2 linked regions of the Arabidopsis thaliana genome follow. The protein of the gene in region 2 interacts with the protein of the main gene of each other region in a pairwise test. Each region holds a gene or a part of one and is shown on either strand. Other genes may lie near its edges. The genes, in order: AT1G11800 and AT1G68300.

The links.
Region 1: the proteins of AT1G68300 (region 2) and AT1G11800 interact in a two-hybrid assay, tested with the Arabidopsis thaliana proteins (one large-scale study listed by BioGRID).

Annotation. Positions count from the first base shown.
Region 1 is NC_003070.9:3,984,588-3,989,078, forward strand, and holds AT1G11800 (endonuclease/exonuclease/phosphatase family protein), read right to left. Parts: upstream 2,704-4,491; 5' UTR 2,677-2,703; coding exon 2,196-2,676; intron 1,965-2,195; coding exon 1,816-1,964; intron 1,723-1,815; coding exon 1,612-1,722; intron 1,518-1,611; coding exon 933-1,517; 3' UTR 597-932; downstream 1-596. Other genes in the region: ADT1 (arogenate dehydratase 1), read left to right, coding at 8-75, 155-236, 319-375.
Region 2 is NC_003070.9:25,597,512-25,601,160, reverse strand, and holds AT1G68300 (Adenine nucleotide alpha hydrolases-like superfamily protein), read left to right. Parts: upstream 1-1,810; 5' UTR 1,811-1,899; coding exon 1,900-2,092; intron 2,093-2,193; coding exon 2,194-2,285; intron 2,286-2,361; coding exon 2,362-2,480; intron 2,481-2,564; coding exon 2,565-2,643; 3' UTR 2,644-2,830; downstream 2,831-3,649. Other genes in the region: AE7 (MIP18 family protein (DUF59)), read right to left, coding at 1-19, 128-173, 500-599, 684-777, 1,208-1,349; ENDO2 (endonuclease 2), read right to left, coding at 2,897-2,991, 3,068-3,141, 3,243-3,307, 3,391-3,483, 3,556-3,639.

The sequences.
Region 1 (4,491 bases), about 22 Mb from region 2:
TCTTTAGATAGAAAGTCGTCCGCAGAGAAGAAGACCGTTAAGAGTAGTTGATGGTTCTAACAATGGAAGCGCTAAGTAAGTAGATTTCTAACACACAACATGCAGACATCTTTTTTGACAAAGTAGTTGAGTGATTGTTTTGTGATGATGACAGGTACTTTGATTACTTATTCTACATTGATTTTGAAGCCTCCATGGCTGATACACGTGCTCAGCACGCTCTTGGCCATCTACAGGTCTCAATCTTGTAACCCCAGAGCTTTTATAGCTGGTCTTAAGGCTCACCAATTCTAAAGATCTTACCTTCTGGTTTTGCAGGAATTCGCAAGTTTCATCCGTATCCTCGGGTGTTATCCAATGGATCTAGTCAGATAACCGAGCAACTCTTCAATTGATTTCATGTTACCATACCGTGAAGAACATGTGAATATACCCAAACAGAAGAACAGGGTTTGTGGCTTTGGTATACTTCAAGAATCTTCTTTCACCATTTTCTCATTTTAGAACTTTAGCTTCAAACTCTTCATTGTTGAGACAGATACAATTGATGTAGCATTTTGTTAAGAATATGTTCTGTACATTAAACAAGTTTTTTCAGTTAATATCAATGAATAAGGTTGTTTGATGCAAAACCCTCTGATACCAAAATCTCTCTGGTTTTTAACGATCATATTAATATGTGATTAGTTTCAGAATCTTCATTACAAAAGGTGGGGGCATTGTTGAACAATAAGACTGATCTTTCAGTTCGAATCAGGAAATAAGGCCGTTCCCAAACCAAAAAACAAAAAAAACTTAAACCAAGAACTGTTTATCATCAGTTCGAAACAGAGAAACCCTACGCACCAAATTTGGTGTTTCATACAGTTTTTTAACCTAGTCACAAAAGCTTCACTAAGGAAGACTAACTTCGAGCTCTGAATAGTTTGATCTCATTTTGGCGAAAGGGTTACAAGCAGACCGAAATGATCACTAGGCAACACCGGAAGCTCTAACTTCTTAATGTCACCCCTCACTTTCTTCTCTTTTACATATGATAAACCAGGAATGGCCTCTTTCCCAACCATCTCGATTCCACCAAGCTTGTAATCATCCAGACGACACAAAATCCGGTCTAACCGTTTCTGCAATGCCCGGTTACCGGACAACATTGGGTTTGCTTTTGTGTCATATGTAAAACCCAAATCACCTGGTTTCAAAACCTCCCAAACATCCACCCATTTGTCTGGCAAAGGAAACTTCCCATCTAGCTTGTCGCACCAGTTCATGTCTCCCCCGAATATCACATTGGCATTAGGTCTGAGAATCTCAATTGCCTCCTTGGCTTGTTCAACGCGTTCTCGACTGAACATTTGGTCCCATTTTGGAGGACCTGGACAGGGACTCTCAAGATGGCTAGTTGCAAAAACAAGTGGCTTTCTCCCTGGAACTTCAACTTCTGCGATAGATAGTTCTCTTCCCATTATCGAGTTCCCAAAGCTTTTGCTGCTGAAAGATTTCACTCCCAACTTGCTCAACTGCAAATTACACATAAGGGTCAGTTACAAGAACCACAGGGAATTATTCAGATACAGACGGCAAGAGCCTAAGCCAAGCAAGCACAATCTTTACCAGCATGCAGTAGTAGCCTCTCGAAACTGCCACATCAACTGAGACAGAACAAGAATACGCTTTCCACCAATTCGACTTGCGGAAAATATCATATATCTCAGGAGTGACTTCCTACAAACCACACAAAAACCACTTGTCAAGAAAGCTGAGCTATTTCTAAATGTTGCAGATAGAAATCATTCTATAGCAAAATGTAAAAGTGACCTGAAAACATATGAGATGAGGAGAATGAAGCTGAATAAGATGACCAATCGCTCTCATCCTTAGATTCAACTCAAGGTCTTCACGAAACCAAACATTGTAGCTCAAGATCTTCAAGCAAGTTAAAGGTGTTCCTGAATCAGAAGCTACCCCTACAAAAACCAAACAATGACAAAAAAAGTAAAGACTTCTGCATTGAGGAACAATGGAAATCAAACTCACACAATTTAGCAGTAATCAAAAACCAATAACAAGCTTTAGATGAAACAGGAATCATACAGTAATAAGTCTCGTCTTTCAAACTGATATCTAAGGTATGAGCCACAATGAGTATACCAAAATTCACAAAGACCTAAAACCCTAGGGAGTAGAAAAAAACCGACCTTTCGTTTCAATCTCTTTGTTCTTCTTCATGACACCTTGCGATTCAGAGCAAACAACAGAAGCACCATCGACCTCGACGACGTCATCATCCATAGCTTTACGCTTGATACACCGCCGCAGAGGAAAGAAAACAGACCCGACGGAGGAATCAGCGTCGTTACTCTCGAGACCCGAATCAGTCAAATCCTGAAATCCCAAGAGAGAAGACGTTGGCGATCGTGTTCCACAGACGTCACAGATTGAGTTCTTGTACGTGTTCAAAAAAGTACAGGCCTTGCAAGCCCATTTAGCTTCATCGTTCGCGGAAATTGAGAGAGAAGGTGGAGGAGGAGACAAAGAAGGGAGAGATACAGGAGCCAAGCAGATCATGCAATTGAGTTTCTGAGACGCAGAATTGAGGAAAGTACATTTGTTGCAGGACCAAGACGACGACATTGCTCGACTTGTGACAATTCTCAGAAATCGGATTGTTGTTGACATTTACCCTAATTAGTTTTTATCGATTTTGATTTTTTGACGCTTCGGTTTTCATTTAACGGCTACGTGTTATTATTATACGACATCGTTTTGGACAAAGAAGATGGTTTACAATTTCAATGTTTAAATTTGAAAGGTGAACCGTAATCAAACCGAAACTAACCGAAGTATACCCATATACCAGAAGACAGAATTAGCTGTTGGGGAATACAACAAAAACAAAAACATACTATTTAGGAGACAAATTTTATACAAAATTTTATTGTCAAGAGACTAAAATCTATACTAGCATTTTCGAAGTACATCTCTTGGCAATAAAATTTAGATGACTAGTTTTAGTCTATTGTCTTTCTTTTTCTAAGATCGATCCTAAATGTATTGACATGAACATGATCATGTCTATTGCAAAAACCTGTCATTCTATCTTCAAACTTTAAGAAGAAGAGGGGGAAAAACTCCTACGTTTAAAATGAGTAAGTCTATTTTTCAACTCGGAAGAACAAAATGTTGGATTTGCAGTGATGTAGGTATCTTCAGGACAAGGAATCGCTAAGCCACCCATTGGATGATCAAACCTTGACTCGCTCTCGAAATTACTAATGAAAGCTTGAAACCAAGGTTGGTTCAAGTATGAGATTGGAACCTAATATATCTTCTTCTGGCTCTCTTTGACGTACACCGCAAGCAATCTTTGAGACTGATATTTTTGTTCTTAGATCTTTTTCTTGTTTGAAGTTTTAATTTCTTTTGTTAGCTAATTTTGAAGATGTATATAGTAGGAAAAGTTCAAGTTTTTGGATTGGTCCTTTTTTGTTTGCTTTATAAGGAGTTGTTAGTTCTGTGAATTATTTACAGATCAATGAATGAGTTAAGATCTCTAATACTTATGGTCTACAGTCAGACTAACACAAAGACCAGCAAGTTCTGTTCTTCATTAAGTTGTAATTAGTTCTTAATGTTGTAAATACCAGAACAATAAGTATCTATCATTTGGTCAAGTTGTTCTTTGATCACAAATGACGGTTCTTAGCAAAGAATATACAAGTGTCGTCTCTCACTTCATCATTTAAGGAGACGAACAAATAATGACGACTTTGTCCGATCTTTCAGTAGATTTGGTGGGAGAGATATTCTCTAGAGTTCCATTGATATCTCTGAGTGAAGTGCAATGTACTTGTACAACGTGGAACACTTTATCCTGGAACGTTTTGTCGGAAAATTATGTTTTTGGTAATTAAAGCAGATACAAGTAAGCAATTTCTAGGTTTCGTAGTAATGTATTCTAAGGTTTGTTCCCTGAGACTTGATCTCCAAGGAATCCACAACAACGATTTCGTTGATCCATCTTTAAAGGAAATATATATAGTTGATCAATACGATATATCTAATATATTTCACTGTGACGGCTTGATTGTTATGCGTCATACACAAAAGGAGAAGGAGGCTCATGGTGTGGAACCCTTATTAAGGGGAATTCAGGTGGATCCAACCAAGAAGCAAATACCATAAGTTCCACAGATTAGACATGTATGCTTTCGGTTACGACAAACAACAACAACAACAACAACAACAACGGTGTGTCTTTGAAGGGAAATACTTATTATTATGCTCCACAAAAAGAAGTCAGATAGCCATGCAGTTTCAAATCGTATTGTTTTTTTACTCTGTTTTGATTTTACATCAGAAAGGTTTGGACCGCGTCTTCCTCTTCCGTTTCACTCTAGTGATGAAGAGACTGTGACTCTATATATCTTGTATCAGAGAAGAGCAGCTCGCTATGTTATATCAACCCTACGACTTATGTTTGGACTTGGTCAT
Region 2 (3,649 bases):
TCGTTTAGTTGTTTATTCACTGCATTTTAAACACCAAGAAACCAGACATCATGTTAAAGAAGTACACTCGATGTAAAGCAAAACATGCATACCAAAAAAGATGGATAGATATTGAAAAATGACATACATGCATCTTCTGTTGCATGAGAACCAGGTGCTACCCTTATATCAATCTGAAAAATGAAGATTCGTTTCAGAGGACTGAGGCACATAAAACATTGTGCGAGTGTGTTTTAAGGCAGTCCTAACTATATATAGTAGAGGCTAGGGCTATCTTCTCTTCGCAAGTATCAAGAACAGTTGATTAAGAATGAAAAATTAAAAAATTTCTCTGCCTCATATATCATCACAAGGAGAACATGTGTTGGATCTCAGTTACGTTCAAACCACTCTCGATAATGTATAAATCAGAAAATGGGCTCAGAAGATCATCTTGACAAACTTACAGGAAAAGGGAACCGGAAAATCTTAGAAATGAAATAACAAGAAAGCTTTGTACCTTGTATCGAGAAGGAAGGCTTCGTAGAAGTTTCACACGGACACAAAGACCGATAACGGTTGCCATGCTACAATGTTCGACAGTTGGAGTGAACGTAACCCTGAAAAGAAATGGTAGAGCTCAACAGATTGGCTCAAAGGAACACTAAAAATCCATAACAAAACGTTCAATCCCAACATTTTACCTAACATAACTGTTCTCATCATCCACTTCAACTGAGTCTTCTGTAACTACTCTGAGATCTTCCAGAGTATTAGGATGCTCTGGATCTTTGATATCTCTTATATGATTTGTGTATTGTTAAAGAAAACAACAGAAATAATCCAATATCATTCTGTATCAACTAAAACATAGATTCCATTTGTTCACAGATTACCAAACCGATACCACGCATAATTACAAGAAATTTAGCATTCGAGAACAAAAGATTCATAGGTAGGCTTTAAGCTAAGAAGCATGTCAAATGGTTCCAACACCTACTTCGAAAAGATATGCATATGAGAACAAAAGATTCATGACTTCTAATAGTGTAAAGAAGCAAACTTCAAGCTAAGAGGCATGTCAAGTTGTTCCAAAACCTATGCATACACTAGCTACTCTTAATTTCAGATGCTAATAGCTGTAAGACGATAATCACATCCTCACAATCACACACAATCAAACCAATTCACCAATTAAGGTTTGCAATTAGAGTAGTTCTAAGAAAACTTGATGAAGAAAGGATATCAAAAATCTCAAGTTGATCAATTGGTTCTGGTGTAAGCTCATCAGTAATGCTTGTATCAGTACGAAGACGCCTCTCTTTCTTTGGGTAAATGATAGGGTTCTCATTAATCAACCCAGATACCATTTTTCTTCTCCCTGCCAAAAATTGAGTTACAGAGACTCGTAAAGCACGAAACTTTTCAATCGGAAATTACAAAACCCTAAAAACCCTAAAATTCCCAGGGAAGAAGCAAGCAGCGAATTGAAAACTAAAGAAAGATACATACCGGAATCGAAAATCAATCAATCAGCAAAGTTTTAAGATTTAGTTCGATTAGAGAAGAAAGAGGCAAAGATTTTGCGATTTTGAGAAATTTGTAAGAAAATTTAAATTTACAGGAAAAGAAAAATCGGATATGGGCTTACGAGTACGTTAAGGATTTGAGGAGTAGGTCTGTGTAACCTCGCCGCCAATTTGGAATCCGATGAGCCAATAAGAACAACGAGGTTATAGGCTTTCTCTGGACCTGATACAAGAAACCCGAAATTGGATCAGGCCCATCGAATAATTCAAAATCTCCAGAAGAACCTCGTGCCTTCCTCTACACAATCGACACGTCATCATTCTGACTTTTCTCAAAGAAGAGAAATCAAATCACCAAGTCATCGGAGCGATCACAGAGAAGAAGAAAACCATGGCGGAAGAAGAGAAAAGCGTGATGAAGCAAGTGATGGTGGCGATTGATGAAAGCGAATGTAGTAAACGCGCTCTTCAATGGACGCTCGTGTATCTCAAAGATAGCCTCGCCGATTCCGACATCATCCTCTTCACTGCTCAACCTCATCTTGATCTCAGCTGCGTCTATGCTTCCTCTTATGGCGCCGCTCGTAAGTAATCTTCTTCATCGGATTCCGGCGATTTCATTTTGTTGATAATGGTTGGATTTTTTTGAAATTGAGTTTGAAAATTTTGGTCTTATGTGTTGTAGCGATTGAGCTTATAAACTCATTGCAAGAGAGTCATAAGAACGCTGGATTGAATCGTCTTGATGAAGGAACCAAAATTTGTGCTGAGACTGGGGTTTGACTTCACTTATATGAAATTAGTCAGATTCGTGTGTGTTTTGGAACTAATTGGTTTGGTTGTTGTGTATTAGGTTACTCCAAGAAAGGTGTTGGAATTTGGAAATCCTAAAGAAGCGATATGTGAAGCTGCTGAGAAGCTTGGTGTTGATATGCTTGTGGTTGGAAGCCATGGTAAAGGAGCATTACAAAGGTGTGTACTGCGTAGATTAAACTTTGATGGTTTTGGAGATGATAATGTGTCTTATGTTCTATGTGTGTGTGTGTGTATGGACAGGACTTTCCTTGGAAGTGTTAGCAATTACTGTGTTAACAATGCTAAGTGCCCAGTTCTTGTGGTGAGAACAAAAGCTTGAAGACCTCTTCTCATGAAAGAGTTCGAGAACCCTGGCTTGATGTGTGTGTGTTGTAAACATATTGATAATAATGCTCTGCTTGGTTACTATTGTTTGAAGAAACTTTGTGAGTAAACATAATTTATTTTGTTTGATAATGAAAGAGCATTGCCGTGTTCGGGGCTTGTGATTGCTATTTCCTTGTTTCAATAATGCAGTTTTTAATCTAATATGAAGACAGGCTTAGACCAATCATTATGCTGTAACTTCAGCTTCAACCGAAAATCCTGTTTAGGGTAGCTGCTAGTCTCACCCCTCCCTGTGCTAACCGCTGATACACTATCGGTAGACGTGAATAGAAGTATTCATCTGCGTAGAAGACATTATGTGTTTGTTAGCTTCTTTCTTTTGTCAATCATCATAGTTTTTTGGGTGGATTCTTTACCTTCTAGAGTGTCTCCTTCCGTTACCCCCTTGTATGCCCAGTCACAGGCTGCTTGAATTCCTTCGGATGCGTATCTAAAAAAGTTTACAGGGGGAAAGCAATTGGAAGTTAAATCTGCTTCTTGCTGGCATGAAGAAGAACCACTTCTATTCAAAGGTACTATTATCATACTTACATGTCTGGACATGCTGTCTTCTTTGTGCAGGTCTCCCATCTCTTAACTTGATCTGCCCATTCTGTCTGCATTTTATTAATACATGTCAGCAAGTCAGAAACACCTTGTAGCATACATGTAGAGAACAGTAGTTTTGTTGCATTAGTACCGTGATATTCTTTTTGAGTGCATCCACCATTCCTTCTAGTGCAGAGTTATAGAGATCTGCTTCAGCTGTTTCGATAATGTTGGAATCCCATATCTGTATGAATCTAAAGTTTAAAACTTTGTACTATCTGATGCTGAAATAATAGATGCGTTTCGCAGTTCTTACATGGTGGAGGTTAGCTTTTCTCGTGTACCAATGTACTTCGATGGTGTTACCTCCTTTGTCTGAAGCATAACTCACATGTAGAGGCTGTATTTTA